Rattus norvegicus: one gene and its partner. The protein of the gene in region 2 purifies or fractionates together with the protein of the main gene of each other region. This does not show direct contact. Links are inferred from orthologs where the notes say so. Each region holds a gene or a part of one and is shown on either strand. Other genes may lie near its edges.

Region 1 (5,247 bases), on a different chromosome or scaffold from region 2:
TTCCCCTGATCGTTTTTTTAATGTTGGGTATTTATACTGTTTCTTGATGATTTTTTTATTCCAGCTCAGGAGTAACAGATAAATATTAGTTGACACCTTCAAAACCATACAAGTGGTCAACTGCTCTAAAAAACTTTTATAGGCCTGATTTTTTTCTTAAACTGACTTATTGAACATATGTACAGAAATTGCCTTGTATTGTTTCACAGCGACCATGTTGTTCTGAGTTAAATAGTAGACACTAAGTTTGTTTATAGCATGGCTATGCTTATACACTTACATGGTTCTTTTATATTTGAAATGAGAAAATATTTCAAATTATTGAGTCTCACTTAGACTTTATTGCACACGTATATACCAAGTAGCTTTTCCTAGAAAAGGTGTTTGAAAAAAGATACAAGCTTGATAATGGAAAACATACTTTTCCTGAGAAGTATGCAAATATGTTGTCAGGAATCATTCATGCTAATAATTTTTGGCATAAACATCATTGCTTTCTCCATTTCCCTTTAAGATAGTCTCTCTTTACAGTGAGACCTTCCATAGAACTCTAGATTTCCCTATGTTGGGGTTTCAGGCATGCACCCTTATGTTAGCATTAATGTTTCTAAATTTTAAAAATAATAAATTGAAATACATGAAGTCCTGATCATCAGAGGCCCATATAAGAATATATATTTAACGTTAAGTAAATAATTTTTTCAGTTTGGTATGATAAATTGGGATTCTCCACGATCTCCGTATAGAACTTGATTGGCATTTGGATATCTATATCCTTCAAACTTTTAAGCTTTTTAGAACTCTGCGGTGTTGGCTATATTTTGACAATTCACATTACTTACTAGAAAATTTCCTTTTTTTCCCAGACAACTTCTATTTAGAAGTGAATAGCTGAAAGCATCTTTCCGCTGCAATACTTTACTTTTCTTAGTAGTCTAATGATCTTCGTTTTGGTTTTGTATTTTAATAATTTGCAAAGATAACTCTTTAAAAGGTTACATTTGTTACTAGCTCTTTTCATATAATACAATGGTATTCCAAATGAGGATTTTTAATGAAGAAAAAAAAATAAGAATAGAAAAATTTTAAAGTATCTTACAATCTGACTGAACAGTTGCACTTATTTTTCGTGCAATAGTTTACACCTCCTGCCCCTGCTTATTTTTTAAGTTTTAAAAAATAGCAAGCCTTTAATCCCATCATTCAGAAAGCAGAAGCAGGTGAATTTCTGAATTGAAGGCCAGAATGGTCTACAGAGTGGGCTCCAGAACAGCCAGGGCTTCAGAGAGAAATTGTTTTGAAAAACAAAGAAACAAACAAACAAAAAAACCCAAAAATAGCTGTTTATAGTGGGGAGATGTATATGTATCCATTTATAGGAGTTGCAAGAAACAGAAAAGCACATTGCTACATGTGATTGTTACATTTTGAGTACTAGATGATTAAGGCTTACAAAGTTGCAAGCCAGAAAATAACGTGTCAGCCAGTCTGTAATAATTTGAGTGTCAAAACCATTAACAACAACAACAACAACAGCAAAAAACCTAAGTAAACCATCACTTTGGTACCAAGAAGTCACATGGCTCTAAAAGAGTTCAGGTCTTCTGCATATCAAAATTAGTCTCTATCCATGTGGGATCAAGCAGGGATTCACTCAGTTGACAATCTACTGGAAGACACCACTGGTTAGGCTTTTACCTACTAGTTTGGTAAACCAGTGACAAATCCTGTCCTGGCAGAGGCCTAAGCGGATGACCTTGTTTACTGGAAGGTTGCTCACTCTCGGGTTCCTGCAAAAAAGTCGTAGGGGTCAGCCATAACAACTAAATACTTCTAAGGTTCTTTATTCTGCCAGTAGGCAATACCCTCTCAGCCTATTCGACCCTCTGACTCCGAGGCTATCCTCGGCTGGCTAGCCCTGTCAGCTCTCCCGAGTACACCGAAGACAATGGTCTATAGATTGGGTAAAAGGAGCATAGGCTAAAAACACCAAGCCTCTCTCAGCCCTGTCTCAAGATGGCGACCGTGCTGGCCAGCTTCCACCTAGCCCAAAGCCATCTCCCTTTCCCAAAGGCACCCGCGCCAAGAGCGAAGGCGAACTAGAGTAGGGCCCTGCAGAGATGCAATCCGGGCGGGGCGGAGACAGTCGTCGTCCCACGCACGCGCGAGCTCGCCTAGTCTCCCGCCTCCGGACTTGGAGCCCTCCGCCGGCAGGGTGGCGCGCGCTGCCTGTCGGGATACTCGGTCCGCCCACCTAGTCTTCTCGTCCTCGTTCGCGAGATCCGTGTTTCTCCCAAGATGGTGGCGCTCCTCTTTGGGTGACTACAGGAGACGACAGGGCCTTTCGTCTTCGCAAGTACCTCGCCGCCCCTCCTGCGTTCGCTCGCGCACCGGGCCACGCAGCTGTTCACCGCCTCATCACGACTCTCCTCGTTCGACCAGTCGCGGACGGTGGCGCCTCCTTCTGCTTCTCTTCGGAGTTGCTCGCCACCCTCGCCCCCCACCGTGGACAGATCGCGGCAGCAGCCGTTCAGCGCCGACTTCAAGGTTGCCCAGGCGCCCGGCCTCCCGGCCTCAGTTTCCTGAGGAGAAGCGCGGGTCCCGCATGAGACCCGGCGGTGGCGCCAGCGAAAGGGAACGAGGCGGTGGCGGGCGGCGGCGGTGGACGAGGGCGACAAGGACCAGTGAGGCGGCCGCAGCTGCGAGGGCCGCAGCCCACGCGCGGGGGCGAGGACAGGTCAGTGCTGCTGCGGCCGCGGCCTGCCCGGCGCGCTCCCTCTGGTCTGTACCGCCGGTCCCCTCGTCACCCTCCAGGCCGCGCTGACAGGGTAGGCGCCTGGGCCCTCACCCGCCTCCGTGAGCGAGTGCTTGGGCGCGTGGTCTGGAGGGGCCGGTGCCAGGACTAGGCCCTGGTGGCTGCGGCTGCTGCAGCCTTAACTGTCAGTGCTGGCTGAGCGCAAGAGGGAGGGTTTTGTCACCCGCGGGTACCCGAGTGGGCCCGGGGTGGGGCGGACGTGCAGGGCGTCGAGATTGGGGCCTCATCTAAGCAGGGATCGGAGAGCCAGCCGTGGCTTCAGGCTGCAAAAGGAAGTCCTTTTCCTCCAAAGGGGCGCTCTGGTGGGGAAGACATATTTAGAAGTGTGCTTAGTGGGTTGGGGTATTGTAGGGGGTGGATTGGAAGGAAGACGGATGAAGCGGCACATCAAGCCCAAGGATTGCGCTGTGGTTTTATTCGTGTGCTGCGTCTGGTAGGATTCAGTAGTTGAACGTGAGTTACTGGATTCCTCAGAAACTGCTGTGTTAATTTTAAATGCAAACCTGTAAGCAGTTGGTCTCCTCCTCTTCTCCCCTCCCCCTTTTCAGTTGAGAAAATGAAAAGGACGTTTTCCCCATTTTGATGCGGAGGCTTTTTGTTGGAAGAGTCAGAGTTGAATGTGCTATAATTGCGTTAGCCTTAAAAATAAAAAATATAATTTTAATAAGACTTTTTCACATTTAGAATCCTCTAAAGACAATTTTACGTCAATTTTTTTTTATGTCTTTTGAGGATACTGAAATAGACAAAATCTCTTTGGGTTTGTATTAAGTAGCTAGTGTACTGTTGCAAATGTTAACCAAATAGTATATGGGATGTGTGATCCACAATTATCTAATGTCGCAAAGGATGTTCGTATAACCCAGGGTTTTGGGAGAAGCAGCAGATTATGTTAAAATGCTTTGGAGAAGGAAGTGCGTTTGAAATGAAGATGGCCTGAACTTTAAGAAATATAGCTGTGGGGCAGGGGGTGGGGGAGAAATATAGCTGTTAAAAAGCTAAATATTCAAAGACCTAGTAAATCTTGTTGGACAAGTGACATGACAAGTGTTTTTTTTTTTTTTTTTGTTTTTTGTTTTTGTTTGTTTTTTGTTTTTTTTTTGTCACATCCCAGATTAGTGACTACTTTTACTTAAGATTTTTTTTTTTTTTGGTAAATCATGCAGATTTAGATTTTAGGAGAGATAAAAGGAAAATTTTGTCTTGTTATGTATGACAGAAACTGCTTTAGTATTAAATTCTCTTAAGTAGAATCTGCTTACTGCACTTTTAAGGGAATGGATATTGCATCTGTATTGCTGATAAGCCTAAGTATGACTGTAAATCCATAGATACTTAGCATTACAAAAAAGCCATGTATCAAAATCTGTAATAAAAATGAGAACTTCATCAATTTGCAGTCTATATTTTAAGAAAGATACAACACATAATAAAGATGAGATGACTTGTAGCTTTGTTTTCAGAATCAGAATGTAAGTAAGCTGTGAAGTATTTGTGTCAATATTTACCTTGCATTGGTGTGTTGTGGAGTGGTATACACACGTAATTCTTTGGGTATTGCTCCTCATATACCTGAGGAGCTTAACCATGAGTTTAAAAAAAAAAAAATCCCTTTTGCATGCAGGTTTTGTAGGTGGCTTTTTTTAATCTCTGAAATATCCACCATCACCATTTTTTCGTTCTTTTTTTTTTTTTTTGTTGAAAGGGTCTTAATGGTACTCCACTGGATGACCTGTAACTTTCCTCTTGGCTTTGTCTCCAGGGTTCTGCAATTAAAACTGTATACCACCAGGACTGGCTACTTGCCCTTTTTATGGCTTTAAATAGAAAATGTAATTTTCATCTGAGACTAATTTCTCTGACATGTTAATTTTATTCAGTTGTATATCTTAAACATTTATGTCAATCTCTCTTCCCTCAAAAATTGCTGTAATCGTTTCTCTCAATTTTTATCAACTTTTTTTTTTCCATTGGGCATAGCTAATTTTTTTCTGTTCAAGGGCTTAAGATGATTTTTTCAAATGTCCTTTAAAAAAATAAAACCTTAAATGGTTACTGGTATATTACCATTTATTCTACTTAGGTTTATGTTTGTTATTAATGATAAAATTACTGTTAATGGATTTATATTACATGTATATGCAGCTATTAAAACATCAAGTGTTCTGATTTTTGCAACTGGGTTTGAATTTTAACCGATGGTCTTCTAAGTACTTTCAAGTACAAAAAAAGTATCAGAGCAGAGGGTCATATAAAAATAGTCTTTAAAGTCTTTGATGTTCTCTTCATATGAAGGTTTAGGATAATAGAGTTTTGGTTTTGACAGTATTTTACTTCATTACTGATAAAAATAAAAACAATGTTATGTTAGGCATGATGTCTCACTTCTGTAAACCCAACAATTGAGAGATTGAAGAAAGGATTGTGGCCAG
Region 2 (4,942 bases):
TAAGCATCAAAAAATGGATAAATATAAGTAACAATAAAACCACTGCAACCATTAGAAACAGTCAATAAGAGATAAAAACTGAATTTTCTCTCGGGGAGAATGCTGTGAGCCAACACAGAAGGAATATAGCATCAACACGTAAGCACAGCCACCCAATGCTGACTAAGCCACACTGAGTAAATCCAAGACCTGAGCCAAAACCTTCAAGCCACTCAGGCACATATATACTGACTACTCTTCAAAGCAAACCATACTCATACTACTGTTCAGGGGTTTTCCCCTCTATTTCTAAGTTTCTAAAATGACCACTACTAAATTTAAAATAAAAAAGTTGTAAATTAAAAAACAACAGTATCCGGTTGAAGCCCTTCCTTGGGCGCGCAGTTCCAAGCTCTTTCCCTGCATCTTTACCCAGCATCAGGTAGAAGCACGTCACCCACCTCACCTGAGGAGACTGAAGCTGCAGTACTGACGCTGACTGTTCAGGCTGGCATATGGCCCAGGCCATCTGAACCAAGAGCTCACACTGTTTTAAATACTGGAACGCAGAACTAATGGCCACACACAGGAAAATAAATATTCACTCTCCCAGCAATTTCACCTCACAGACTGAACAGTATCCTAAAGAAACACTAGTGTATATGGGCAGTGATGGCCCACGCCTTTAGATCCCAGAGCTTGGGAGGTAGAGGTGAGCAGATCTGTGTGTGTTTGAGGCCAGCCTGGTCTACAGAGATAGTTCCAAGACAGCCAAGACTACACAAAGAAACCCTGTCTCAAAACACACAGAAAAGGAAAAAACAAAAACAAACAAAACAAAAAAACAAAAAAACAAAAGACCAAGGAACAAACCACTATGGTATATACACAAGGAGACATAGGAACATGTTTTTCATCACAGCGACATGTTTAAGAAAAGCCAACTGTTATAGCTGTTAAAGCAAATCCAGCTGAAGCAATCTGTGCACCACGACCAGCTGAACAGACAAGCTACTCAGACAGCGCATGGGGCAGCAGGGAGCCGAAACGTTAACAACGTTCTCCCAGATGCAATGACAGAGGCACGGAAGAGGAGGATTCGTGGACCACACAGTGATCTCATGCACACAAACACACATTCACTGCTCGTATCCCACAGGACATACATACACCAGTGCATAACTGCACAATGAAAGAGCTATGTGAGTTGATTATTTCTCAGGGTATAGAACACAAGAAAGCCAAACATCTGCAGCCCCCGAATGATAAGTATCACTAGTGTAAAATCTTTTAGATTGATTTTATGAATATACTGCCTAAACATGTGTCTGCATGATGATGCTTGCCTGGAGGGGCCAGCAGAGGTCAGAAGGGGTATGGGATCCCCCAGAACTGGAATTAAGGGAGCTGTAAACTGGTATTTGGAGGCTGTGAATCAAACCTGGGTCCTCTTTGCGAGCAACCAACACGCTCAACCCCTGAGCCATCGCTCTAGCCTCCTACCGTAAACCTTTTAAGATGTACAGTAAATGCTTCCCTACCAAATAAATGAACTACTGAGAATGACCCCAATGTTGTAAACAGAGGGGCAAAACCTCTGTGCCCTTGTTTTGTTCTGGAGAAATATTATGTGTATGTGTGTCTGGGGGCACGTGTACATGAATGCACATGCTCTTGGATGCTAGAGGCACCAGACATCTGGGAGCTGCTGTTGTGAACTTCTTGATGCGGGTGGTAGGAACTAAATTCATGTCCTCTCCAAGATGACCTGCAGTATGTGCTCTTAAACCACAGAGCCTCATAGGCATGTTTTTAATGACGCAGAAATGAAGACTAATACACACCTTGCTACTGTTAAGAGCAGGGAATTGGATGTTGCAGCATTAGCCTGTATCTACTGTCTTTGTACTGACTCTTGAATACAGGTGAATATGATTATCCTTCTATTTATCCATGGAGATATTACTCATTTGCACTGAGGTACAACATGAGTCTGTACCTGCAGAAAAGAGGGAGCAACTCTCATCTCCACTGATCCTGTCACCTATCCAGAGAGGACAGAGCACCTCCACAGACCCTGTCACCTATCCAGAGTGGACAGAGCATCTCCACTGACCCTGTCACCTATCCAGAGAGGACAGAGCACCTCCACTGACCTTGTCACCTATCCAGAGAGGACAGAGCATCTCCACTGACCCTGTCACCTATCCAGAGAGGACAGAGCATCTCCACAGACCCTGTCACCTATCCAGAGAGGACAGAGCATCTCCACTGACCTTGTCACCTATCTGACAGAGGTACTCTGCTTTTGCCATCATTGCATCTCGAATTTCACTTTCTCCCAGATTCTTCTCTGCATCCTCCAACTCCTCATCCAGACGTTTCAACTCTTCCTCGTTTGCTTTCTTCATTTTACTGAGGAGATCCATGTCCATCTGCCAGTCGAGGGATTTACACAAGGCTTCATAATAAGGAGCCATATCTAAAAGCCATAAATCACGCACCATGAGGTCACTTGTTAGGGTCAGCTTGCTTTTTTCCCCACCCCATCAAAAGTCAGCTAGCAGGCGCCTACCAACTGTGGGCCTGGAGAGCACAGCTAAGGTTTTGGAGCTAGGAGACCTGCTTGAGAACCAATCTTTACAGGGCTGAACACTACTAAGGCCACAGGAGGGGAATCCTTAGTTTGCTCTGGTAGGCTCCTGTTCCAAAGGAATCCTCACGTCACGGAAAGGACACTTACTAGACGTGTACTGATAGGGACAGAACCCTAACTGCCCCTTGGCAGAGAGTGAAACACTGACAGACATACTGTCAAGACCCTTTGCTGGGAGTCTAAGCGCCACAAGCATCCGAGGCTTCCCGGAACAGCTCGCGGCGAGGAAGAACCCACTAAGACAAGTCCCTCTCGGCTCCAGGAGGGCTCCCTAGGGCTCTCCAAAAAGCCCCAACGGGACGCCCAGCCAGGCACCCGGTCCGCCCCAGCCTAGGCCGCTGACTCGGCGCTCGCGGGCCTCACTGTTTTCCCGGACGGCGGCCATCAGCTCCTCGCGCACCGCCGTGTCCCCGCGGTGCTCCGGCAGGCTAAGCAGAAAGCGCAGCTGCGCGATGCGCAGATCCGGGTTCTTGGGCAGACCCTCTTCCTCTAGGTTTTCTAGCGGCATGGTCACGGTACAAGAGCAAGCTGAGAAAACTGAGAGTAGTCCTGGGCCACCAGCGGAAGCAGGAGGAGTCGTCGCAAGCACCCACAGCCGCCAGCCTGACTTCCGGTCGCGTCTCTGTCTCCGCCGCCTGCAGCGTCCCCTGCTGGACACCGGCGGGAACACCTGGCGCTGTCTGAGCTTGTTACATTTGCAACTTAGAGGATCTGGAAATGCACTAACAGTTTGAAAATACAATACGGATGAGAAAAATCAATAATCATAATCATAATCATAATCATCATCATCATCATCATCATCATCATCATAATAATAATAATAATAATAATAATAATAATAATAAAAACAGTTGTCCAGGGCCATCTTTGTTTTAATACTCTTGAACTAGGGTGGAATTCTTTTGGTACGGATTGTAGGCAAGCAAACTGGGACATAAAGAGGTTTGAAAAAGTGACCGGCTAAGGTTACATAACAGCTACATGGCAAGGCCTGTGTAAAACCTATTTTATTTACCTTTAAAATCCACAGTCTTGCCTGTTCTAAGAAAACCCCATGTTTCCTAGTATTAATTCAATGATTTACATTATTTATTTTTGTGTACACAAGTTGGAGAAGTCTTCAGAGTGGGTAGTAGTTATATAAACTCTACTGTGGTGTAACAATGAGAAATGTCCACCTGAGGGACAGTATTTGAACACATGATCTCCGTTGGTGGTGCTGTTTGGACACATTAAGGAACCGTCAGAAGGTATAAGCCCTGCTGTAGGAAGTAACTCACTGGTGAGAGGCTTTGAGAACTTCTGGCCTCACCCCATTTCCGACTGTCTGTTCTCTCTGTGTGGTGGAAGATGTGGTCGGCCATGTTCTTGTTCCAGCCTACTGTTTCCATGCCTGTTAAGGGCTCTGAGAAAATGCAAGCTCACTGTTAAGGGCTCTGAGAAAATGCAAGCCAAACAAACCTCAGAAGCCGCTTTGGTCATGGCATTTTATCACAGCAAGAAAAAGAACTAATCCATCCACTGCACGGACTTGTTCTCCTCTGCTTTAATTAGGCCCTGCAATTGTGAGGACTGTAAAGGGACTATTCTAAGAAAATCTCACCCACGGGAACTTAAAACCAGGATTTTCATCTCAGATGTTGAATTGCACATCAAAGCACAGACTTCTCCTAGATGTTTACCTTTGAACACAAGCTGAGCTTTTTTCTGTAGCAGATCTCCTGTGCTGGCCTAAAACTCTTCGGGGTTCTGAAATATGATGTCCCATGAAGGATATGCGGATCCAGGAGTCCCACTCTATGTGATGGCTACCGTGTGTCTGATTTGGGAGAGTACAACCCAAAGACATTCTGGAATTGGTGCTGAGGGGGTAATCTCTTTTAGGTTATCAGAATGTTATAACTTTGTATGAATACTGGTCATCAATCTGCACAAGGGAGGTTCTGTAGAGAGCATCCTAAGACATTCGTGAATGGGTTTAGGTCAGGAGGAACCAGAGCTTTAAATCAAGCCCAGTATAGAGATATTTCAAGACTGGGTTCATACTATGTATGGAATATGGATAAAATTGTACCCAAAAATCCACTTGTAAGCAAAATATGTTTATGAAGCCTGAATTCTTAGTTCCAAGAAGCATATTGTGAATAGCCATACCTTTAGCAAAGAAATTCAAGCTTCCACTTTCTACCAAGATCCATCTTGCCAGGCGTTCTCATGTATGCCTTTAGTCCTAGCAACTGGGAAGCAGACGCAGGCAAATTTCTAAGTCTGAGGACAGCCTGGTCTTCATGATGTGTTTCGGGC

What was found. Proteins that work in one complex are often made in the same cells at the same time.
Region 1: the proteins of Psmd6 (region 2) and Ube3a purify together in Homo sapiens (affinity purification with mass spectrometry; 4 studies listed by BioGRID). This does not show direct contact. The link is inferred for Rattus norvegicus from reciprocal best matches to the Homo sapiens genes PSMD6 and UBE3A.

What each region holds. Positions count from the first base shown.
Region 1 is NC_086019.1:119,203,917-119,209,163, forward strand, and holds the start of Ube3a (ubiquitin-protein ligase E3A), read left to right. Parts: upstream 1-2,231; 5' UTR 2,232-2,737; intron 2,738-2,742; exon of another isoform or gene 2,743-2,828; intron 2,829-2,870; exon of another isoform or gene 2,871-3,268; intron 3,269-5,247. UniProt on the Homo sapiens protein: E3 ubiquitin-protein ligase which accepts ubiquitin from an E2 ubiquitin-conjugating enzyme in the form of a thioester and transfers it to its substrates.
Region 2 is NC_086033.1:13,530,953-13,535,894, reverse strand, and holds the start of Psmd6 (26S proteasome non-ATPase regulatory subunit 6), read right to left. Parts: upstream 3,221-4,942; 5' UTR 3,144-3,220; coding exon 2,999-3,143; intron 2,462-2,998; coding exon 2,256-2,461; intron 1-2,255.